Linked DNA regions of Oryza sativa Japonica Group. The main gene of each other region encodes a partner of the protein of the gene in region 2 in a complex. Links are inferred from orthologs where the notes say so. Each region holds a gene or a part of one and is shown on either strand. Other genes may lie near its edges.

What was found.
Region 1: probable U6 snRNA-associated Sm-like protein LSm4 (region 2) and sm-like protein LSM8 share a complex: the UniProt entries of both Arabidopsis thaliana proteins name them as parts of the heptameric LSM2-LSM8 complex. The link is inferred for Oryza sativa Japonica Group from reciprocal best matches to the Arabidopsis thaliana genes emb1644 and LSM8.
Region 3: probable U6 snRNA-associated Sm-like protein LSm4 (region 2) and sm-like protein LSM5 share a complex: the UniProt entries of both Arabidopsis thaliana proteins name them as parts of the heptameric LSM1-LSM7 complex. The link is inferred for Oryza sativa Japonica Group from reciprocal best matches to the Arabidopsis thaliana genes emb1644 and SAD1.

What each region holds. Positions count from the first base shown.
Region 1 is NC_089039.1:29,806,303-29,814,407, forward strand, and holds sm-like protein LSM8, read left to right. Parts: upstream 1-3,335; 5' UTR 3,336-3,468; coding exon 3,469-3,508; intron 3,509-3,613; coding exon 3,614-3,654; intron 3,655-3,747; coding exon 3,748-3,822; intron 3,823-4,796; coding exon 4,797-4,849; intron 4,850-4,986; coding exon 4,987-5,077; 3' UTR 5,078-5,337; downstream 5,338-8,105. Other genes in the region: 26S proteasome regulatory subunit RPN13, read right to left, coding at 1-73, 441-510, 587-653, 747-821, 915-953, 1,141-1,200, 1,337-1,429, 2,213-2,236; pathogenesis-related protein 1, read right to left, coding at 5,418-6,014. UniProt on the Arabidopsis thaliana protein: Component of the nuclear LSM2-LSM8 complex which is involved splicing nuclear mRNAs. LSM2-LSM8 binds directly to the U6 small nuclear RNAs (snRNAs).
Region 2 is NC_089035.1:8,581,347-8,589,495, reverse strand, and holds probable U6 snRNA-associated Sm-like protein LSm4, read left to right. Parts: upstream 1-3,079; 5' UTR 3,080-3,330; coding exon 3,331-3,333; intron 3,334-3,425; coding exon 3,426-3,467; intron 3,468-3,564; coding exon 3,565-3,663; intron 3,664-3,933; coding exon 3,934-4,011; intron 4,012-5,555; coding exon 5,556-5,598; intron 5,599-6,221; coding exon 6,222-6,377; intron 6,378-6,473; coding exon 6,474-6,496; 3' UTR 6,497-6,794; downstream 6,795-8,149. Other genes in the region: rapid alkalinization factor, read left to right, coding at 1-137; zinc finger CCCH domain-containing protein 4, read left to right, coding at 8,098-8,149. UniProt on the Arabidopsis thaliana protein: Component of LSM protein complexes, which are involved in RNA processing. Component of the cytoplasmic LSM1-LSM7 complex which is involved in mRNA degradation by promoting decapping and leading to accurate 5'-3' mRNA decay.
Region 3 is NC_089039.1:18,937,656-18,945,827, forward strand, and holds sm-like protein LSM5, read right to left. Parts: upstream 4,572-8,172; 5' UTR 4,426-4,571; coding exon 4,389-4,425; intron 4,258-4,388; coding exon 4,134-4,257; intron 2,667-4,133; coding exon 2,594-2,666; intron 2,493-2,593; coding exon 2,457-2,492; 3' UTR 2,179-2,456; downstream 1-2,178. Other genes in the region: probable folate-biopterin transporter 7, read left to right, coding at 6,863-7,136. UniProt on the Arabidopsis thaliana protein: Component of LSM protein complexes, which are involved in RNA processing. Component of the cytoplasmic LSM1-LSM7 complex which is involved in mRNA degradation by promoting decapping and leading to accurate 5'-3' mRNA decay.

The DNA.
Region 1 (8,105 bases), on a different chromosome or scaffold from region 2:
TACTGGCCCAGCAGCAGATGTCACCTCACCAGCTAAATCAGCAGTCATGCTCTGATCAACTAAATTCCCAGCTCTGATGAGAAGAAAGAAGGAAACAAAGGGGTTAGAATTATTAAATGGTCATTAATTCATTATACCCAAAACTCAACACGCATGCATGAATGCCATATCAGGAACAAATTGAGGCCACACTTTCATATATATTTAGCAGGAAAAATATCAGTGTGAAAATAGGAAGAATGAAAGGCAGTGCACAATAAACTCAGCTAGACATAGATAGTGTTAACTTATGCATGAAATTGGAGTGAATATACTTGTGGTTTATAATGAACGTGCATCCATCTGTTACTCTGACGGCCCCATTGAAAAATAAAGATTGCAATGCAAACGTCTAGGTTTTTCTGTGCTGCACATTGCATCTTGCAGTTCGTTAAAATTACCTGGAGGAGATGTCATCATCAGCTGTGTCTTCATGTGACATTTCAGCTTCAATAGAAACTGCCTCACCATCTGCACGCCCATACAACTTAAGACACAAGAAAAATGAGCGCATAATTAAGAGTTGAGATCCCAACGTTCAGCATACCTAATGGTCGGTTTATGTAGGCATTAACTTGGCGACATATTTGTGAGTCGTCATCAGCACTTGGCTCCTGCACAGTAAAGAGCAAAACACAAGTAAATTTTAGCTGGTGGAAGGACTTCTGTGGTTTTCAAACAGATACACACACACACACTCAACTGACCTGCATCCAGAAGAAGAATTTCCTGCTATCGTGCCTGAACTTCAAGATGTAAACCCTTCCAGAAGATTGTGTTACCTGATTAAGTTGAATTACAATCATCAATGAAGCCCAAGAGGTTCACTAAGATGGTCTTGCAGAAGAAAATAAACTTGAACCTATATTCAATACCTTCTCAAAGACAGCCTCCTCAGGGAAGACAATTTGATCCTGTGAAAAGGGAATCAAGGATATACAAAAGTACGATAATTTCCTAGGATATACACAATGGAAATCAGGAGAAACAGACACAGCCAAGTTCAAAGTTCAAACATACGAGTCATACAAGTACAGTATTTGCAGATTAAAAAATGAGTGCACGATGACTACTAACTACTATCTATGCTCGAGAGGATACAACTTCAACTAGATTCTGTCCACGATCAAGCCATTGAAAATGAACCAAGCCTTCTTCACCCTACAAACAAGTGGATATGTTAACTGCACTGCAAATCCCCATAAAATATGAGAATGCAAATGGCTTATAAGTTATACTGGACAAATAGAAGTACAGAACTTCAATTCAAGATAAGTATGACTTTTAGCATGCATACCCTTCCTATGCGAACAAGACCCTTGCGTGTGTCTGGGATCACTCGTGTTCCATCAAGGGACATCTTACCCGCACGAAACTCGCACATGATATCCTGACAAACACATGAGAGATTGTTTTTAAATAGAAGCTCAACACCTTGTTATATCATAGCAGAGATAAATGAGATGGCAAAAATAAATATATAGGTCATTAAGATTCTGAATAAGCACAAGATCTTAATTTGAGATAGATCAATAAGCACCATGCACTGCAACAGAAAATTAACTCAGTTCACTGAACTACTGAAAGCTCACTATACACAACCTACATTTCTTATCAGAAGATTTTCTTGCTACAAATTGCTAGCTAAATATTTTGGCCTTTTAGAGTGCAGGCAAAGATTAACAGAAGTTCTATCCCAGTTTTCTGAAAAGAACTAAAACATAAAGAAACAAACTGCCTAGTATACAAAAGAGACATCTATGTTTTTTTTTCTTTTTTTGTATCATGTACGATGAAAAACTGGTCCAAACATGGTTCAGGCCTTTGTACATATTACACACAAAACAGCCCATTAACATGGTACTACCAATGCCATTTTCTGTCAGGCTTTCTTTAACCAGCTGGCTCACTTGTCATACACTCAATTACTTGGCAAGATTTGCGAATAGTTGAGAATTTGTCCACCACAAAAGACAACCTCAATTATCCTTTTGGCAAAGTGTTGATACCAACCAAACAGCCCATAATGTCATTTTAGATGGAACTTGCAGCAGCTAAATCATGATCTCAAATCAACAGCAACCGATCATCGCAGTTAAACACTAACAGGAAATTCGGTATTTGAAAAAACCAATACTTGCAGAAACACTAGAAGGCAAAGTGAGGAGTTTACCTGTAGGGGCTCTGTGCTCTCCATTGATTAAAGAGTGGCTACCACAAGGTGCAGGCCCTAAAACAGGCAGTAAAAAGGACAGTAAAGTATTGGACATAGAACAAAATCAAGCAAGTGTGAAGTATAATAGGTTATCAGTAACTAGTTGTCAGAAGTGTACTGCATGCCAATTGAGATGAACAAAAGGTACTGTAGTCTGAAAGTAGTAGCTGCCTTTAGAACTTTGTGCATATGAGAATGAAAACATTATGCGCATGTGTTGGTAAAATACAGAAAAATGCACTTGTGAAGGATTAAAGAAGACTAGATCTATAAATTTATGTACACTAGAGTCTTTGTTGTGCAGTATTTGCATCTTCAAGTAGCACGTAGGCAACTGACAAATTAGTATTTACATAAAGAAATTCCTGCGTCTGCGTGCTTGTAGATTTGTAATTTGTAAGGTGGTTTCTTTGGGCTTTATAAGATATTATTACTGCATTACTTTTGTGCTGCTGTAGTGTTATTTCATAGTGGAGAACCAACGTGACCCAAAAAACGGCGAAGACTAGCCAAAAACCCTAGCAGCTAGCAAGTCGCATTAACATAAAACTCGTCAATGATTAGCTTGTTTGCAGGGGCTAGTTCCTTACAGGATGGTGCAGTGTTTTATGTTTGTTTATTTTTTTTTCTTACATGTAGATGTAAGCAAGGAGAGCAAAATAGGTGGGTGATCTATAAGATTTTGCTGGTAAGGACCCAAGAAAAACATGAGCAATAAAATCGATTGGAGCAGCCGTCCTAGAAAGAGAGATTTGGATTGGAGAGAGGAACAGGTAGGGCAAGGGAGAAGAAAATATCTTAGAAACAATGGAGCAAGAGTTGGTCACCACTCAGTCACTCACCAACAAGTGGGGGATTACGGAGGAGGGCTGGACGTCGTCGTCGTCGTCGGCGGCGGCGGCGGGACGGGAGGAGAGGGATTCTCCGACGCGATGTGATGTGATTTGGGGAGGCGATGACGACGGGAGGGGGAGCAGAGAAGGATCTCTCATGGTGGGCTGGGCTTCTCTTAGCTGGGCTGGAGAGGCCCGCCCACGCATTTGATGGCCCATATAAAAGCCCGCTCGGCAACTCCAAAGACGAAGTTGAGCTAGGGTTTTCAATCTCTTTCTTCTCTCCAAAACACAAATCGTCGCCGCATCCCCTCAACTCCGGCGATCCCCTTGGCGGCGGCGGCGGCTTCCCCAATCACCCCACTCCACCTGAACTACAGGATGGCGTCCGCCGGCCCGGGGCTCGAATCGCTCGTCGACCGTGAGTTCATCCCTCTTTTTTTTTTATCTCATCTCACCCAGCTACCCAAGATTCTCCTCCTCCTACTATTACTAGTGATAGATGATGTTTTTTTTTTCTCTCCAGAGATCATATCCGTCATCACAAACGATGGCCGCAACATTGTGGTGAGCCCCTTGTTTGATCTACTCGTACACCTTTTTTGTTTTTTTTGGCTCTCGCTAATACTCACTCGAATTGCCCTGCCTCCGCTTCGTCAGGGGACACTCAGAGGATTCGATCAAGCCACCAACATCATCCTCGATGAGTCCCATGAGAGGGTCTATTCTACCAGGGTAGGGTTGCTCCCAACTCTTTCTACGCTTCTTTCATGCTATCTTGCAAACCTTCAATTAATTTTACAGCAATATCAATATTTCACTAAGCTAGTACTATATGCCCTGATAATCCGGCAACACACACTTTACTTCCATCTTCATAAAGTTATGTTTACAAGGCGGTCATACTTACAGTTAGTTACTCTGCTAAATTTTTCTGCGTTTAGAATCTCTACCACAGTCTGTTTGGCATTTTCCATAGAGTTGCCTGTTTGCTAAGGCTACAAGTTCAGCCACACAATTTTTTTTTGTTATTCCAGTATGTCCTTGTTAATTGTGACCTTCTCCCTGGTTTGCTGTCAAATGCTCTCATTGGTTCACTAGTGCAGAATTCTGCAATCAGCAATAAGTTTCTCTCATGGTGCTTGAAAGTTAGTTGCCAACATGTATTACACAGTACCCTTTATGGCTAAACACAGATTGTTTTCAAAGATGGCTCTCTTTCATGATGGTTATAAATGTCATCATGAAGTAATGAGTTCATATTGTTGACTGTTCGTATCTATCATCATGTCTACTGTCAGTATGAACTGAAGTTCGTTTCCTGCAAAATAATGAGTTTATACTGTAACATGTTTTAGCTGAATTTGTCATAACAGCACCTTTTTCTTCAAGGATTGGTTCGATTAATTCTACCTTGTGCACGTTCAATTTTTCAGAAGTCATATTATTTTTTGTCTTCAATAGTTAGGTATTGGAATGTCTTTGTTCTTTATGGTGCAGAGTTGTTGTTCTAACAATTTGCAGGCAATGTTGACTATGAATAGTTATATGTCTCGTATCATGCACCTCTCTATTGAATATGGGATATGCCTTCTTAAGGACTAGGGGCCAATGCCTTTAAATTGTCATGCTTTTAGTTTGTGGCATGTGCTGTTAGTAGTACAGTTGAAATTTTGAGTAGTGATGAGAGAAATGTGTTGTACCTGCAGGAGGGAGTGCAACAGCTTGTTCTTGGGTTGTACATCATAAGGGGCGACAACATGTAAGCTATTTCCTCAATTGTCGTTTGAGCTGTTTATTGCTTATTAATTACCTGCATGGAGGTCGTTTATGGATGTGTTATTTTGTTTGGTGGTGTGCCTAACTGAAGTTGAATCCGTGGGTGATGCATATTTACAGCAGCGTGGTGGGGGAGGTGGATGAAGAACTGGATGCGAGGCTGGATCTATCGAATCTGAGAGCGCACCCGCTGAAGCCCGTGATCCACTAATGGAAACGAATGAATGATGTACTACTACTAGTAGTAAGCTAAACCTAAATGTAGTGTTGTCCCAGAAGTTGTGAAGAAGTGGGTGCTAGTGTTGCCGATGAGTGAACTTCTTTAACGTACGCGAGGAAGTCCAGCAAGCGGATGAGCGAGCATGAAGAAGAATGTTATGGTTTTATGTGGTGGTGGATGGGTGATGCATGTTTGTTGAACACGAACACAGACACAGTGACTCAGTGAGTGAAGATTTGGTTTCCATTGTATTGTATTGTTTGTGCAGCTGTATCAATGTACATGAATGAGGAAGGCAGGCAGGTCAGTTGTTGAAGAGAAGAAGAGCATATTAGGAGTAGGTGGGAGGGGTAGCCGGCTGGTGCTGCTCGTCTTTGAAGTAGTTGCAGGTGATGAAGACGCCGCCGTTGAAGCACTCGGCGCGGGCGCAGCCGATCCTGGTGAAGTTGGGCCTGACCATGAAGGCGAAGTGGCCGCACTCGTGGAAGTCGACGCCGGCGGTGCATTTGCCGGTGTCCCTGTCGTAGAGGTGCTCCTCGTCGCCCCAGCATCGGACGGCGTCGGAAGCCCTGGCGTTCCAGCCGTTCCTCCCGATGTAGAGGCTCTCGGCGAAGCTGTTGCCGGTGGAGTGGCGGATCTGGCAGTCGCCGCGCATGGCGTCGGACCACCGCCGCGCCTGCCTCGCCAGCTTGTTATCCCACCTCATCGGCTGCAGCCCGTAGCGCGCGCGCAGCTGGTTGTGGCCGTCCACGAACTCCCGCGGCATCCCCTTGTACCAACCCATCCCATTGGTCCACGACACCAACCACCCCGCTGGTGCCGATGCTGATGCGTCGTCGTTGAACCAACACATCGCGTCGCCCACAGACAGCAGCAGAAACCAACACAATAGCAATAGTAATGGGAGGATCATCGCGGCGGCGGCCATTGTCTGCCGTCGTCCCGACGAGGACGAGGCCGCCCGCCGATCCGATCCAATCCAATAGTGCTAATGGGCTTCTTATATCCTAGCTCATCTTTTGCCATTTGCTTTTCTTGGATTTGCCTCTCGCTCTTCCAACCATAAACAACGAACTAATAATGCCAATGCCAAGTTTAGGCAGTTTTTCTTTTCTTCTCTGCATCGATCATATCATCATATCGCACGGCCACTCTGTCCAAACAACAAAGCCTAACCTCCCCGGGCACTGGCAGGGCAGCTGGCTGGGCTCTGGCTCTACCAGCTTGCTGCCTGCCTGCCGTGTCTCGTCTGCTTCTACAACTACGGAGCACCTGTTTGCAACGGCCAACGGACGGAAGGAATGTTTTTTTTTTTTGTTTGGCTTGGATTCCATCCATCCTCTCCGGCCTGTTCGTGTGTACGCCTTGTGCTAGGCTAGGCTCCACACACCTGGACATTCTACTCTCGATCGTTCGCGGTCGCGGGGCCCTCTTCTGTTCTGTTGCGTTAATTGCGGCCGCTTTGCTTTCAATTACTTAATATCTGTTTTAATTTCTTCGCCACTTGACATGGTTATGAGTATGACAGATTAATATATGCTATCTTTTTTGTAAGAAAAACCGTTAATATATGCTAGCTACGACTGCATATATATGACAGATTATATACGTAGTATATACTTGTGGTTCGCAATAACGACCAGCTAGCTTAGCTAGCGGATCAATCATACGACGTTACGTTACATTATACTAGTACGTGATGATCAAAGAATCATGCATGTCAAGCTCATATGTGCTTTGTATCTACTACCTTACACTTGCTCTGCTTCTTTAACCGGAAAAGCTGTATGGCTGCTGAATGATTTTTGCTCGGAAAACTAACTATGCCTTACGCTTTCCCTTGCTCTGCTTCTTTAATTGGGTCGGAGTGTGTGTACGTATATATGCCGATATATATGATCGATATGATGCATCCAGCCGCGCGCTGTAGACCAAACTAGCTCGATCGGATTCACCCTCCGATCGGGCGATTGATCATGCACCAACAGCTAATTATAAGGAAACAAAACAGAGATAATTAGTTATATACTACTCCCTCCTTCCCAAAATGTTTAACGTTGACTTTTTTTAAATATGTTTGACTGTTCGTATTATTAAAAACTTTTATGAAATGTGTAAAACTATTTGTATACATAAAAGTATATTTAACAATAAATCAAATAATATAAAAAGAATTAATAATTACTTAAATTTTTTAATAAGACAAACAGTCAAATATTTTTAAAAAATAGTTAACGGCGCCAAATATTTTGGGACAGAGAGTAGTATTTAGTTACTCCTACCTATACGTTGTTGTTGATTTCGAGAGGCGCCGACCAGCCGCTGATCGATCGAGCTACGTAGCTATCTAGGAATTAATATACGACGAAAGACAAGTTACCCCATACTGTATATGATTATATATGAAATCAAATCAATCAATTAACTAATTAATTAAATGAAGATGATGTGTATATAAAGACCTACGTGTCCGGATGTATATATAAGTATTCCAGTAAGCAACATGCATGCATATCATCCATATAATGAAATCATGAATGAAGATGTGTGCCCCTGGCACCGTCCATACGTAATACTCGTACAATTAACATAGGGTAGTAGCAGTACATGCAGTAGCTTATCTTGTTTATTATCTGGACACACGATCGAGTCATATATATATGTGCATCCGAATGCGTGTGGATAACAGCTACCTCCAAATCCCAATCACAGTCACAATCAGAATCGCATGTCTTTGATCGAGTAGGATCGATCACAACGAATGGATATGTACGCATGCATCACCTCCATCCCCTGTCTCTCCCGCTCTCTTTGACCATTGCATATATATATATATCTTCTTCTTTTCTTACATACATATATAAATAAAAGAATAAAGATTATATATATATATATATATAGTAAATTTGTTTGGTGCTCCATGGTGTCCGGGCACCATTGTTGAAATTGAGTATATACCCAATTCAAATGAGTATGAAACTTTTTCAATTACTTAGGTATTAACATTAACTACTTTACT
Region 2 (8,149 bases):
ACATCGGGTACGACGCGCTGCGGCGCGACAGCGTGCCGTGCTCGCAGCGCGGCGCGTCCTACTACAACTGCCAGCCCGGCGCCGAGGCCAACCCTTACTCCCGCGGCTGCTCCGCCATCACCCAGTGCAGGGGATGATCGATCGATCGATCGACCGAGCTAGCTAATTAATGAAATTAAATCCAATGCCATGTAGTTCGCAGCAAGAACACACGCACAGTGTCCCCTTGATCATAGCTGAGCTTATATGCTATAGCTGTCAAGATCTCAGTGTTGTCCTTGCATGCCTCTCATGCTTGATTGATTAGATGTGTAATGGTCCTAATGGATGGATGGTGTTGTTTGCTATGCTGCTTGGGTGAAATTAAAGTGATCAAGATTATGTTTTTTTGTATCTATATGCATGCAAATTAACTGGCGCTTGCAATTTTGCTTCAGTTTTTTGTTTATCTGCTTATCTGCATGATTAATGATTTTTGTTTGAATATTCCAATTAGGATAAGCAGATATGTTTGATAGATTTTTTAGCTTGGGTATAGTTTCTGTGGGCGGAGGCAGATGATCATTAATTTTAAGGGAAATTTTTTTTCTTTGATTAATTAGGTTGTGGAAAAGAATTTAGTACTAGCTATGATCTAGGCCAAATTCATGCATACAAGCTACTCCAGCTTGTAAGAAAAGAAACATCGGCGTCTATCGAGTTGAGCTGTCATTTCCGAGTTGATTTTATTTTATTTCATTTTATTTGGGTCAGATCAGGCACTATATGGTGGACAGTTTTTAATCAGTGTTACTTTGAAAAAAAGAACATTTTTGGGCCCAAAAATAAAAGATTGCATATTTGGTGAAAATGACCCATGTTTGAGAGGATCAATTCAAGGTGGGTTAATGGAAGTGGTCTTTAGCTACCTATAACAACACATGTTATGTGCAATTAGTAAAATAGTCATTTGGTAATGCCACCAAACTGTGGTTGGGCTGTCATTTTTCATCTTTGTGTGTAGTCAATGTACCTAGGAACTTTATGCACCAAGGAAAGGGGACATGATTAGTTCCCCTTTTTAAGAGAGGATAGGGAAAGTCTTTGAAGCTAGGACCACACACTGTACAAAATGGTCCCTTGAAAAATATGAATATGTTTTCTTTTAGAGTCCTAACTGGAGTACTGTTGTTTTGATTTTGTAATTAAGTCATATCAAATGTTACACGGTTTGCAGTTTACTACTTAACTTGGTGTCATTACTTTCTTTTCATGTGTTCTCACTTCTCATAGTTTAGTGAGTGGATTACACAGTAAAAGTTACAACCGCCATGCACCATATTTCATTATTTGCACAATCAATGGCTAGCTATATGAATTTTGGCTAGTTCAATTACTTGATTGTCCCAACGAGTGCAATGCTAAGATTGTGCTGTGCCTCTGTTTGAGTTGGTTCACACGTATGCGCCATCAAGATTGTGCTACCTTTTGAGTTGGCTCACACCTGATACTGCATTCTGAATCAAAGGGAATTTTTGAATGGGCTTTGGTGGTCAGAATGCAGTGTCAACAACCCATGACATGTAGTATAAAGTAGTGTGATATCACCTAGACATTTATTTGCTGATGTTGAAGGGGGAGGAGACGAGACACAAATTTTTGACTCCTGTCTTTATGTGATGATCAACAAAATCTTATAACAAACGTCAAATATTTATGATCAAGAGAACCAACTTTTATAATTTTGATAAACCGAAATGATATATTTTGAACTATCTCTTTGTTTCAAAATATAAGAACCACCAACATTTGTAGTTTGCACTAAAATATAAACACTCCTAGCACTATAAAGTATAAAGTACTACTTATTTTAATTGTTTCCCATTAAAATTTCTTTCCATCTCTTCCTTAACCACTTTCTTGCCCCTAACCATATCTTATTTAAGCCGCATTCGTTTATTCAACTCTAAAATGCAACTTTATCTTTTTTAACATGTTTTTCAAACTGTTAAATGTTTTCTTTTACAAAAACTTATTATATAGAAGTTATTTAAAAAAATCAAATAAGTTTAAGTTTAAATTTTACGGTAATTAATACTCAATTAATTATATGATATTGGCTTACCTGTTTTGAGTGCCACCAAAAAGCTAAACTAAGTTGAAGATTCAAACTAGGCCTTGATATTGGACATCGAAATCTTTTCTCTTTAACCTTAATCTCCATGGTTTCCAACTCGTAAAATCAAGTCGAGGTACCCTGGACCGATTGGTCAACTAGTCCATCACTAGCTGATGACTTGCCCATGCAAAAACAGGGATGCAACATATAGTCTTTACTAATATTATACTATACTAAGCATTGTATAAAGTATAAATTATGATCTATAGTAGCAAGACAATAAATCAACAAGAAATAAAACTAAAGTATTAAACACAACAAGCTAATTAGCATGGCGAATTAATAATTCGCAACCGACTTTACGATGAACCACGACTTGCTGTTTGGACGAGACGTGGTTCTCTAGTCGATTAGCTTGACCAACTTTACAACTAATCTATCACTAAAATCGTGACTAGTCGTATGACTTGATAACAATTATAATCTCTATGTACAAATAAAATTATATTTTGGAAATGTAGTACTAGTATTTTTTACAATTTCCTTAAAAAATTATTTTGAGGGACTTTAGTTTTTCTCCTCTAGGAAATAGACCATATATGCCTAATTTTGAAAAGGATAAAGGAGTCGTATACCGGGTATCAGAATTACTAAAATACTGTCGCAAGTTTTTTTGGAAAAAAAATATCTATAGTATAATTATAGTGTAACTACAATATTGTTACACTATAAGAAACTATATCGTAATCTCTGTATAAAGTACATTGTAAAATGTAACTGCACTAACTACATTATAACCACCATATAAGTTAGACAAAAAATTATATATATTATTTCAATACTTATATATAAGTTATATTATAGTTAGAGTAAAATTATATTACAATTACAAGATTTGAAAGTTTATCCTTTAAAATTACGGCAGTTTTCTTTATAGTCTCTACTCGTATATATAGGCGGTTTATAACAACTTGAACTTTTATTTGGGACACGTGTACATAACTCTTTCGGTCCGGGACCCTCTCTTGTTTTTCTTCGTTGCTCGCGAGCTCTTCCCCCCTCGCCTCGCCTCCCCACCCAACAAGCCCGCGGCGGCGACTAGGGTTTTGACCCCCCGGAATCCCCCCTCCTCTCGCCGCCTCCGCCTCCGCCGCCGCCGCCTTCCTCCCCGCGCCGGCGACGATCTGCTCCTCCTCCCCCGCCGGCATCGCTGTTTCCGGATCTAGCGCAAGATGGTTCGTCTCTCTCTCTATTTCTCAATCTGTACCCTCTCGATCCCCAAATTAATGCGGCCGTGTCTGATTCTGTGTTTGTGTTGTGGTTGCAGCTTCCGCTCTCGCTCCTCAAGACCGCCCAGGGGCATCCCATGGTAAGAGAAGATCCGCCGCTTCGCGCTGTGCGTGGTGGTTGTTTGGTTTGGTTTCTGATCGGCTAGGGTTTGAAACTTTTGTGTGGTTTTTTTTTAGCTCGTGGAGCTTAAGAACGGCGAGACGTACAACGGGCACTTGGTGAACTGCGACACGTGGATGAACATCCACCTCCGGGAGGTTATTTGCACCTCAAAGGTGAAATCTCGCATCCCCGACCCACTTCGCTTGTAGATTTTAGTGGGGACAAAAGATTAGTGGCATTGTTTGGATTTGGGGAAAATAGGGAGTAGCCATTTGTTAAAGTAGTCTTCATATTTTTTTTGGAATTTGACGTGGAGATAGACAGATAGTAGGAACTTATAGTTCGAATTGTGTGTTCTCTTTTGGGTCATTTGGTTCCAATTGGTTTGATCGTTTAGTTTGTGATGAATGCTGTTTCCTCATTGTTTATGGTTGTCATTGCAGGATGGTGATAAGTTTTGGAGGATGCCAGAATGTTACATCCGTGGGAACACCATCAAGTATCTTCGGGTTCCTGATGAGGTATGGATTTTTAACATGTTAAACCTTGTTTACTATGTGCTTGTGGTTTGCTGGTTGTATGTTTAGACATGTATGTTCTCCATCTGCATAATCAGCCTTTTTTTTTCCCTGTTAGCATTCATCACCATAATTGCTAGCAAAATCACTATGTCGTGTGCAATTTTTTTGTGGTCAGCTTTCAGTTTCAAGTTTTGTTTTCCCTTTTAGATCTTTATGGGTGCCAGTGTGTCTCTTGTTTTGTCTGAGTAATCTCTCACGTTAGATATATGTAAGTTATTTGATGCCATTTAAGATATCTGCCTTATGGTGTTTTTAAGTGATTTGAGCAGATGAGGACCTCTCTTAAGCTAAGCAGAGCATTTTAATATGATTACGTGCAAATCACTCTGCATTTTATCTGTTAACTATCCACGAGGGGCTGATAAATTTTCTTGATTTCAAATCACTGATATATGACACCAAACAATTCTCCTGCTATGAATAGTGACAAAACTTATGTTCCAACTCTGCTGTACGCAAAGCTACTTTCCCACAGCCAAGGAACATTGAAAATAGTTCAGAACTTCAGATAATGGAGAAGTAAATATCACATAACCGTGACCTGGATAGTAGGCCTAAGTATATATGTCTCCTAGGTCACATCATATAGATGTAGCTGACTTTACATCATATGGATATAAATGTTATTAGTACTTTTAACCCATAAATCTATAAGCAAAGCACAAATGGGAATGTATTGAGCCAGGATATGCCCACACTTGTTATCAATTCTGAATTTAACCAGCCTTTCAATCCCTATTCTGGAAGTACAATCGAAAATTGATATGGTAGAGGTAGAATACTTTTTACCCGATCTTCTGGAGTTAGACAGCCTTTTATCCTTATTCTTAATCTTAAGCTGCATATTTTACCACTGAGATTAAGATTAAGAAACAGACATAAATAGGACTATTGTACCACTGAGATTTAGATTGCATTTTCCTCATGTGCTGGTTTGAGTAATCAAACAATCCTACGATGAGTTGGTCAATTGTGGGACCATCCCACAATTTAGTTGGTTTCCTTATTTTTCTACAAAACTTGATACTTTTGAGGGATGAGATGGAGTGGACCAACCCATTAACATTCCCAACCAAATAGTTAAGTTCAGAGTTAGGATCGTATGGTTCATTCACCAACTAATTCCTGAAATAGAACAGGGCCATCAGTTCATCTCTTGTTAGATATCTCTTGTGTTCATTTTGTTGTATTACTCTTTATTTTTATTTTTAGAGGTCAAATAGCTAATTGGATGTTCTTGATACTACCTCCATCCCAAAGTATGAGTTTTAGGGTTGGGCACGGGTATTAAGAAAGTTGGTGGAATCAAATGGGGAAAGGTTGTGATTGATTGATTTCGATTGATTATTTTTGTCTTTTCATGACATTCCAGCATATGTTATGTACTTCTGTTTTACCTTCATGATGATGATGATGATACACCAGCGTTGTCATTGTTACCTGTGCTTTCCAATCCTAAATGCATGAATTTATTTCTATGACAGGTGATTGACAAGGTCCAGGAAGAGACTTCAAAGAGCAGATCAGGTATGTACCCAATGGTTCCAGCTGTTATAAATCACATTTGTCTCTGTAATTATTTAGATGTTTTAATATTTTCTGTGAACTTGATGAAATATTTAAATCATAATTTTGTGCTATTAGTTGCCTTTGCTTGAACCTTATTCCAGTTCATTATTGGAGAAAAAATTGACCTTATTCAGTTTCCAAGAGATGTATTTTGTCATAACCCATAATTTTTATTAGTAAGAAGTACATTATATGCGGCAGTGCTATCAGTTGAATGTATGTGGCAGTGCAAATGCGTTTATGCGTGCAAGTAGTAATGCGACTGCAGTTCTTTTCTTGGGCTGGTTCTTAATTTTCAACAAACATAACGTAACTTATACTTCAAAAATTAGCGATGAATTGCATGTTTACGCTTTACAGTGTAAATAGTATCAAATCAATCTGTAAATGCACATTGATACAGGCAGTATCCTACATCTATAGTGTTGTTGATGTCATTCATGAAACCCTCGTGTTCCTCTTTTCTTATATTTGGTGTATTATGGTTATTCTGATTTTCTGATTACTAGAGAATTTCACCTTTTTGAACATCTTTTGAAGTTAAGTTCAACGCTGAATTGCCTATGCTCTTCTAAATGCAGATAGGAGGCCACCAGGTGTAGGCCGCGGAAGAGGAAGAGGTGATATAGGTACTAAGCCTGGAGGCAGAGGCATTGGGCGTGGCCAGGATGATGGTGGCAGCAAAGGCGGTGGTGGCCGTGGAAGGGGAGGAATTGGAGGTAAAGGTGGCATCAAAGGTATGCTTCTTGCTTGAATTTAGACTCTACTATACCGCCAAAGTAGTTTGTATTTTGTTTTGAGGGGATAACCAATCTGCTTGTACTCTATGGCAGGTGGGGGCCGCGGACGTGGGTGAGAGGGAAGGTCACTTGTGGGAATGCCGCTTTTTTAAGGCTTTGTGTCACATAGATTGCTTTAGGAGGGTGAAGAATGGACTGGTGGAGTAAGCATTGCTTTGCTTTATCATTTTGTGGTATGACCGAAAAATGTTTCATGGGTTCAGTAGTTACCAGTGAAGAGGCAGCGGTTGGCCTGTCTCGAAACAATTTGTTTGATGTCTGGACCCTCGACTATATTGAATATTATTGTGGTTATTACTTTGACCTGTTCATCGCAGAGAGCCAGGTAATGTTCTTGATTGTTCAGCAATAGTATATCTATATTGTGCTGCTTGGAGTGCTCTTTTACCTAGGCGCATATGCCGACCACGAGCATTCTCTCTGCTTCAATATTCTCTCTGCTTCAATATTCTCTCTGCTTCAATGTTCTCACTATTGAGTGATACTCCTTCAGTACCATACAAAACCAACCTACACAATCTAGGACTACTAATCTAGACATTACCTCTATCCAGATTAGTTGTACTAGAATGTCTAACATGTTTTAGATTTGTTTTTTTTTTGGAGGGAGGAATTAAGTCTCAGACAGTCGCACCATTTTACCATAAAATGGTGGTGTGTTTGCGCAGACGTTTTTCATATAATTGGTTTCACAGCAGCGCGTCATTTTAATTCGATCCGCACAAATTATGTCGTGTGATGGTCACACCTTGCTTGCTGTAGACCACTCTCGCAACTGCTGCCCTGATAAACGGAACGGCCAGCCCGAATGCATTTACATATAACTAATTATAAGTAAGAATTATTTTAATTTTTTTAAAAATAGATTGTAAGAATTATTTTATTTTTTAAAAAATAGATTAATATATTTTTAAGTAACTTTTGTATAGATTTTTTTTTAAAAAAATGCAACGCTTAGCAACGAGGCACTTTTTCTCTCAATATTCTCCCCTAAAACTCAGCCTAAGCAGACGTTCCGGTAATTTCTCTCCATTTTCTTCACGAATCAAACAGCTTCGAAAAAATTGCGTCGAGAAGGAAAAAAAAAGAGATACTAATAACCACCATTAACGAAAGAGATGAATACTCCGTATATTCTTTTATTTAGGAGTAACAGATTACATGAGGATTATGCGTCTGCATAGGTGGAAGCGTGGATCAACCAATGCACCTACTACGTATACACTGTACACAGGTGGGCCCTCCAGTCAACTCGACTTGACCATCTGGCCCCACCTGTCAGCCTCTCACGAGACCGTCAACCGAGTCACTCGTGGTTGACCGGCTGGCGCTGGGCTCTCCCCCCATTGGCAAGACGGTTTTGTCGCCAGCTGCGAACGCGAGAAAGGAGGACCCCCCGGTGGGGAGCGCGTGGATCCGTGGACCCGGTGTTGGTGCACCCTCCCACTGGGCCCCACCACCCATTCACACTCCAGTGGGCCCGGGTCCATGCACCGGGTCTACGCCCCAGTAGTAGCAGCCACCTCACCTCCCCTTCAAAAAAGGCAAGCAACGGAAGAGGGCGCGAGGCGAGGAGGAGGAGGAGGAGGGCAAAAGCTTGCAGGAGAAGGCATCCGCATCCGCATCTGCCGCCGTCGGTGGGGGCGGAGACCGGAGCATGGCGGAGGCGGAGGAGAAGCGGGTGGGGGTGGGGGAGGCGCGGGCGCCGC
Region 3 (8,172 bases), on a different chromosome or scaffold from region 2:
CCCTATTGCTATCGGTTGGTACCGGCATCAACTGGAACTACTCCATCGGCTCGTCAGTCGATAAGCTCATTGATCTGCTATTTGTATATCTTGTCAGTTGCAGGATCAAACTGACTGGCACGTCCGCATCTCACCAACCTTTGGACCTGCACTGGAGCTAAGCAGATATCCCAGGCCGTTGTGTTCATCAACTTAGTTTGCGCCAACACAGATCCGGCACCACTGGCCGAGTGCGGATTTTTCGTCGATAGCCGTGGAGTGAAGCTTCACTTTCTTTTATTGGCCGCCACCATATAAAGTAATAATTCGTGGAGTGAATGTTCACTTTCTTTTATTGGCTGCCATCATATAACTAATAATTGAGAGTGTCAAGCAATAGGGTGTCATATAATTAATAATTGGGAGTGTCAAACAATGGCGGTGCCATCATATAACTAATAATTAGGAGTGTCAAGCAATGGCGGGGTAGCCAAGTGCAGATTTTTCGTCGACAGCCGTGGAGTGAAGGTTCACTTTCTTTTATTGGCCGCCGCAATATAAAGTAATAATTCGTGGAATGAATGTTCACTTTCTTTTATTGGCCGCCATCATATAACTAATAATTGAGAGTGTCAAGCAATGGGGTGTCATATAATTAATAATTGGGAGTGTCAAGCAATGGCGATGCCGTCATATAACTAATAATTAGGAGTTTCAAGCAATGGCGGTGTAGTGGCGTTGGTGTGACATTTTGTGACGGTGTGTGAAGTAGCAAAATAGACAGTGGCGGATCCAGGATTTCAAAGTTGGGTATTCCCGTCTAAGCGCTGAGCCACTGGCCGCCCCTGCCCCTCGCGGCCGCCGGCCACCCAACCGGCCTGACCGCCTGAGCTTGGCGGAGTGGCGGGCGCCGGCCGCCGCCCTCCACGGTAGCACGGTCCAGCTCCCGCTGCCGGTTACCTCCTCGCCGCGCCGCCGCCTAGGTATGGGGAGCGGCGCGAAGGAGCCGAGCCAGGGAGGGATGGGTCACGGAGGGAGAGTGAGAGGGGGCCGTCTAGAAGAGTGGTGGCTAAATGGGTCAACTGATGTATGATAAATGGGTCATGACGGAGTGGGTCGGGTTGGTAGGAGGCGTTGCAAGAGGCCGGTTGGGCTGTGTATGGATCGAAGAATTGAGGATTTAGGTGCACTAATATGTGTACATGTGTATATACTAGAAGTATACTTGCTTTTTGATAAAAAAAAATAAGTTGGGTATTCCCGGGAATACCCAGGAATCATGGTAGCTCTGCCCATGAAAATAGAGTTGATCGTATGCGCACCCTAACTAACATAATCACACGGAAGTGTCAAGCAATAGCGTGTCATATAACTAATAATTGGGAGTGTCAAGCAATGGCGGTGCCGTCATATAACTAATAATTAGGTGTGTCAAGCAACAGCGGTGTAGCGGCGTCGGTGTGACATCGAGTGACGGTGTGTGAAGCAGCAAAATAGAGCTGATCGTATGCGCACTCTAACTAACATAATCACACAAACCATTCCTGAAGTCCAATTGTATACAAAAATCACACGATGTGTGAAGCAGCAAAATAGAGCTGATTGTATGGGCACCCTAACTAACATAATCACACAAACCATTCCTGAAGTCCAATTGTATACAAAAAACCGTAGACTCGTACGATGGCACCCCAAGTCATTCAGTTTAAGTTCCTTTTACTGCCAAAAAAAAAAAGTCACTCATGATGTTTAAGTTTCTTTTACTGCCACCCACCCGCCCCCACCCCCGAAGTCATGATGTTTAAGTTTCTATTACTGCCAAATCACAGCGATATGCTCCTCACCCACCCACCCCCACCCCCAAAGTCGCGAAAATATATTTGGTGCCGTCCATTACCAAGAAATTTTGTACCGTACTACCGTCCATTACTTGAGGGAGCTAAGAGCGGCTGCCATGGGTGTAAGATAAGCTACGGTCGTTTGCAAGATGCAGAGAATGAACGGATGGCAGAGCTTTAGGGTACAGTGACTGTATATCATGATCGCCTCAGATTAAATACAGTATTTTTTTTCCTAGTGGCACATTATCTCATAGAGAAGGCGTTAATCCCAGATTTAACATAGCTCCTAGGAGGAAAGAGACATGTAGGGAAGCATGCAGCAAAAAGATTATCAAGTCCAACACTGCTGAACCACAAATACAACAATTGTAGATATGCTCTCCATTATCAGGTTTCTTCAACCACCTAGTGTTTACTGAGTCAGGTTGCAGAAGAATGGTAATAAACAGCTACAAGAGGTACCTCATACTTAGCATTGCCAAATCATGTAGGAGCAACTGTTGCAGGTACACTACTTCAGGTCAGTTAACTAAGAAAGTTCAGTACAGCCACAAATGGAAGAAATACATTTGAAGTAAGGAAACACCGGTCTGTGCCTCCATCAGCCTCAAGCAGGTATATCACGGAAGTGCTTGCTTATGCCACATCTGGGGGAGAACCACCAGGAACCAACTGTATAGGCCAAACAAAAGATGAAATAGCGTTAGACATAGCAGGTCACACCGAACTTTTACCAAACCATTCATTACAAGTATTTGATCAAGATTTCTCACAATAGCTATATTGTTGCCGTTTAGGAGTATCTGATCAAGCTTTGTTATGCGACGGCCTTCAGCAGTGTATTCACTATAAAACAATCAGAGGATCATGAAACAACAAACATTAGACTATAATTTCATATTGAACATATACATATGCTAAATGTGCAAGTGAAAAAAACTAATAAACATCAGTATGGTTTTGCTAAGTGATTTCCTAGATGATACATTAGTTTGGCAAGGGTGATGGTGGTAACTTCATATTCAGCTAATAGGAATAAATTCCACCATTAGGTCCAGCATTTTATTAGGGGACTAGTGAAACATTGCACATCAACAGATCATATAGATTTCAGTCATGGTATATAATCAGATGACACAAACTCTAAAACACGCTCACTTCAGCCCCTTCTGCAAGATGGCTCAACAACCATCATTATGTTGCAGTATATGTTTGTGATATTTTTTGTTGTTAGGAAATACCTCTCTTTTTAAGAACATAGTTACAACATCCACATGTGCATTCTACAAACTACTAAGATACTGAATATGAATATTTCTAGAACTAATTCAGGTATAATAGAACATTGTAATATCGGGGAAAACAAAGTAATACATCAACACCTGGGAGGACTAGTATAAACTTAATGCAACAATTGTGAAGAGCTAGCACAAAATACATGATGCATCAGTATAACACTCATGGAAACCTACTGCCACCATCTGCTAAATATCTTTAGTCATTTTTACATGACCAATTCCCTCCTAGCTATCAACTATCATTCTGTCCTATACCACAAATAAATAACCATATAAATCATGATGAAAAGAGCTTGTCTTCCCTTCCGCGAGAAATAATATTCCCAAACAAGACAATACTAACTACAACGATGAACATGTTACTGCAGCAGAAATCCTACAAAACAGTGTGTTCCACTGCTGCAGCTTCTTTGGAATCAAGCGTTCATATCAGTTGATCTTAGAACAGACAGACTAGTGATTGCGTTACACCTTAAGTACTAAACAACAAATAAAATCTTCAGTTATATTAAGTATACTGAATTACTGATAAGAGCAGCAAATGTTATAATTATGTAACTTCATGAAACCAAGTCTGTGTGAGTTAAATTGAAGCACACAATGGGTTAACAATCATGACATGAGTACTGAAAGGATCAAAAATAGCTTGCACTATACCAACTATGATGATTGGTAGTATAATACAAACTCATGTTATACGAAATCTGCCTGATGACATGGAGGAAAGTAACCAACAAAGCAACAAGGTAGGAGCAATCTGGCATAAGGTGGGCAATATTTCTGTACTTCAGTTCTCAGAAAATCAAACAATGTTTTCTAAATATTTTAGCTAATTCCAATATCAGCACACTGAGACACAAATGTGAGAAACTGAGCTAAACTAATCTAAGAATCTAATCAGAAGAAACCGAAATTACCCTACGACTGTGACACCAAAATTACCCTACAAGAAAAAAACCTGGCGCGGAAAGTAGAAAAATAAATAGGGTTGAGAATTGGAAGATTTTTCACATACTACTCAGTAACGTCCTCGAGCACCATGTTGACGTACACATCGAACCCACAGAGAGTGCCGACGAGCTCCTTGTCACCCTTCATAATCACCCAAATCTTGGACCCGATGCAGCGGTCAATCAGCTCTGCACAAACCAAAGCCCGCAAGAACTGAATCAAGAACTCGAACCCCAAAAAACAAAATCTATCTGGAACAAAGTTAGCAAGCTAGGATGCGAGATTTATAAGAAACTAAAGCGAAGCTTCTTCCGCGCACCTGAGGGGAGGAGCTGGGAGGGGTTGTTCTGAGACATGGCGGCGGACGCCCTCTCCGGCGGAGATCGAGGTGGAAGCGGCGACGGGAAGGGCGCGCGCGGCTACGGCGGAGGCGATGCAAGAGTAGCGGCGCTGCGGCGGCGGAGGCTTCTGCTTTGGGTGGAGGATTCCAACTGCGAACGCTGCGCCCTAGCCGACTCCACCCACGAGACGTATTCTCCACCGTCCGATCGAGCAATCAGCCGTCGATTAGATATCACACTTTTTTTTTCTTTTGCTAGGTTTCAAGCACCATAGGAATAGGTCAACTTTAACTTCCTTATAAGTGACTCGAATCTAATCCATAACCCTCAACCGTAAAATCAGATAGGGTGACTCTCCGAACTATTAAAACCAGTGCAATTTGATTCCCTTCGTGGTTTTGGAAGGCGATTTTGCTGATGTGGCGCTGACGTGGCAATGTTGACATAGTCTTCGTCCCACGTGGCGCTTACGTGGCTTAGAATTAAAAAAAATTATTTGTGGAACCCATATGTGATTCAAACAAAAAAAATGACATGTGGGAATCGGCTGGTACGACGGCGCGGCGAGCCTCCGACCAAGCGGCTGGGATGCCGAGAGGCGGAGCGACCGGCATCCCGTAGAGCACCAACCCATTCTCCGGCGACCCTCCATCCGTCCTCGCCTGCAAGAGCGAGTGCACACATTAAAACACTCTTCGACTGAGCTCGTGCAGAACCGAGCTACGGGAGGATGATCACCTTGATGTCCTGCACAATGAACGAGTTCGTCTCCACGAGCCTCGAGCAACCTGAGCCGACGACGACTAGCTCCGGCGAGTCGTGGTAGTACCCCAACATCAACGCCGCCGGCGCTGTTCCATCAATGTAAAGGATCAAAGCGAGTTATAGCACTGAGATATAGTATGTGTTGTCAACAAAGACGATCTTAATCAGAGATTCAGAGTAACTAACCCAAAAAACAGAAGGCGAGGAGGGTGACAAAGCCGAGCGCCGCCACCGCCATGACTGTAAGTCATGTACCCTTCACCGGCGCTGGACTGACAGCAAGACGACGCGTAAGAGAAGCTATGAATCCTTGAACGGGTCACGGCCAAGGGGGATTTTGTGGAATCGGTATCTTAGCTGATGTCTCCCCCTTTTCTCTTCACCTTCTCTCTCGTGGAGCAATCGACGGGCAGGGACGGCGACAGTGGGTGGGAGCCGAAGCGGCGGCGGCGGTGACAGGCGGGAGGGCTAGGGGGAGGGCGCTGGAGTGTGTGGCGTGGAAGCTACCCCCTTCAGCGGCGGGGTGCGCGGGGGAGGCGTGCGAGCACGCTAACATCCCTCCGGTTCTTCTCGAAAGTCGGAGCAGGGTTCCTCCCTATCTCTACCATCTTCGGCGGAATCCTGTCGGTCAATTGGTTGTCAGCCAGAGCAAGCTGCTACAGTTCCGCCGCTACCGTCGCTTCAGCTCTCGCCGGCCACCACCACTCTAGCCCCCGCCACTGCCACTCCAGCCCGTGCTCCCCGTGGCCGACCGAAGGGGGGAGAAGAGAAAGAGAAAGAAAGAGAGAAGGGAGGAAGAGGGGAGGAAGAAGAAAGAGAGAGCAGGACATGTGGGTGGCCCCACAATTTTTTTATGTGTGTGAATGACAAACGGGTCCCACATATACGTTTTTAATTCAAATGCCACCTAAGCACCACGTCAGCGAAACCGCCCTCAAAACCACAAAGGGAGTCAAATTACACCGGTTTTAATAGTTCGGGGGCCGAGATATCCGGTTTTGCGATTTATGATCATGGATTAGATTTAGGTCACTTTTAGGGGAGACAAAGTGGACTTATTCCACGAAAATAATATTATTGATTAGTTGGGCTTATTCATTCCAAAGAAATATAAGTTGGGCCTAAATTCAAAAGATATAAATTAGGCTCAATTTCGAACAGAATTTATTAGTCGGCCTCTCTGACAGCCTTGGCCCAATTGAATTATTGGACAAAGCGGTGGGCCCACTGAAAACCCAGCCCAGATGGCCGACCACCGATGTGGTGATGTGGCCAGCACCAGCACGACACCGCACCTGACCAAAAAGCCCAGTCACATCCGCCCATGGCTTAGGCCAGCCCGCGCCGACGAGCTCCTCTTCTCCTCCCATCTCCACCACGCGCCTACCCGCACGCCGAGCTGTCGCCGCGTGTGCCCCCGCCTCGTTCCATCGCCTTCGCGTCGCGCTGTGCCCACTAAAACAATCCGGCCAGTTAACACTTCACACCCCCGCGCCCTCTCGTCCCCCTTCCTACGTGTCCCCCTCCCTGATCAAGAACGGATCACCGGCTCGGCGCCCCACTCTCTTCTTGGATCGGGGAGCGGGAGAGGGGGAGGAAGAGGCGGCGGATCAGAAGATTTGGGCGGCGGCGGCGGCGGCGGCGGCGGCGGCGGAGGTGGTGTGGGTGGGTGAGTGAGTGAGGAGTGATGGAGAAGGAGAGGAAGATGGAGGGGGAGAGGAGGGTGGAGGCGACGCGGCGGTGGGTGATCGCGGTGGGGTTCTGGGTGCAGGGGTTCCGGCTGTTCCCATGGCTGGGCGTCAACTTCTTCCTCAAGGACGGCATGGGCGTCGCCGCCTCCTCGCTGCAGATCCTCCAGGCGTCCGCCAACCTCCCCATGGTCGCCAAGCCGCTTCTCGGCCTCCTCTCCGACGCCGTCCCCATCCGCGGCCACCGCCGCCTCCCCTACGTCGCCATCGGCGGTATGTATATGCTCCCACTCCCACTCCCACTCGTTCCTCTCCTCCCTTCCCCCCCTGAATTTCCCGTCCCAGATCCAGAATTCCTCTCACATCTCAACTTTGCGCGGAACCCGTGTCGCCGAATTGTGATGCGGAATTATAATAATCTCAAATCTGTTCGTCTTGCCTGGGCGCGCCTGGCCATCCAATGCAGCATTTCGTTAGAGCAGTATGTGAATAACTGAATATGCATAGCATCTCCATCTTTAGCATTAACCTCACTGCACATTCTTTTCTTGCATTTGTTTGGAGGCGCATCACCTAATCCTGTGGCAGCTGGCGACAATGGCATCGCCGCAAAGGATATGCTCTGATGCTCACGGACTTTGTCCTCTTGATTCTTCTCACCCTTTCCCTTTGTTTCGGTTTACTTTTCATTTTTGTGCATAATTTGTAGTATCTGTCAGTCATCTTTTCCCGTATTAACCTTTGACAGCAACAACTTTTATCTAATGCTCCACCAAATTTGTCCTCCTGTTAGTATCACACATTCGCAAAGCAACAAGCAAGTAATCCCTTGCCAACCAGCTCACGCACGGCATGAATATTTCATCTACTTTAGGACTTTGGGTGTGGCCCTTTCGGTCCACTTTAATTAAAGCTGTGTTGAAAAACAAGCACAGAGGAATGTCATGATGAAATTCTTCAAGGATGAATGGATAGTGAACCATCTCACTCCAACATCACATAACTTGGGATTTTATATGTGCAAATTCTGTGTTTTTATCACAAACTTTTTGAATGCCATCAAGTTAGTTTAACCTCAGTGAGGCCTTTAAACTCTAGCTTGCGTTAAGAAGTTTGCTAACCGGAAATATGACATAAGGATAGGCCCGCTATGGAAGTTCAGGGACCTAAGTGGCATGTTAAGCAATGAACAGTTGAATGTAAATGACTGAACCAAATAGGGATGGACATAATTGACAAGATCATATGCCTAAGGACGTTGCTATAATTTACAAAATGAAGTATACAAAATTGGGATATGCTTACTGTG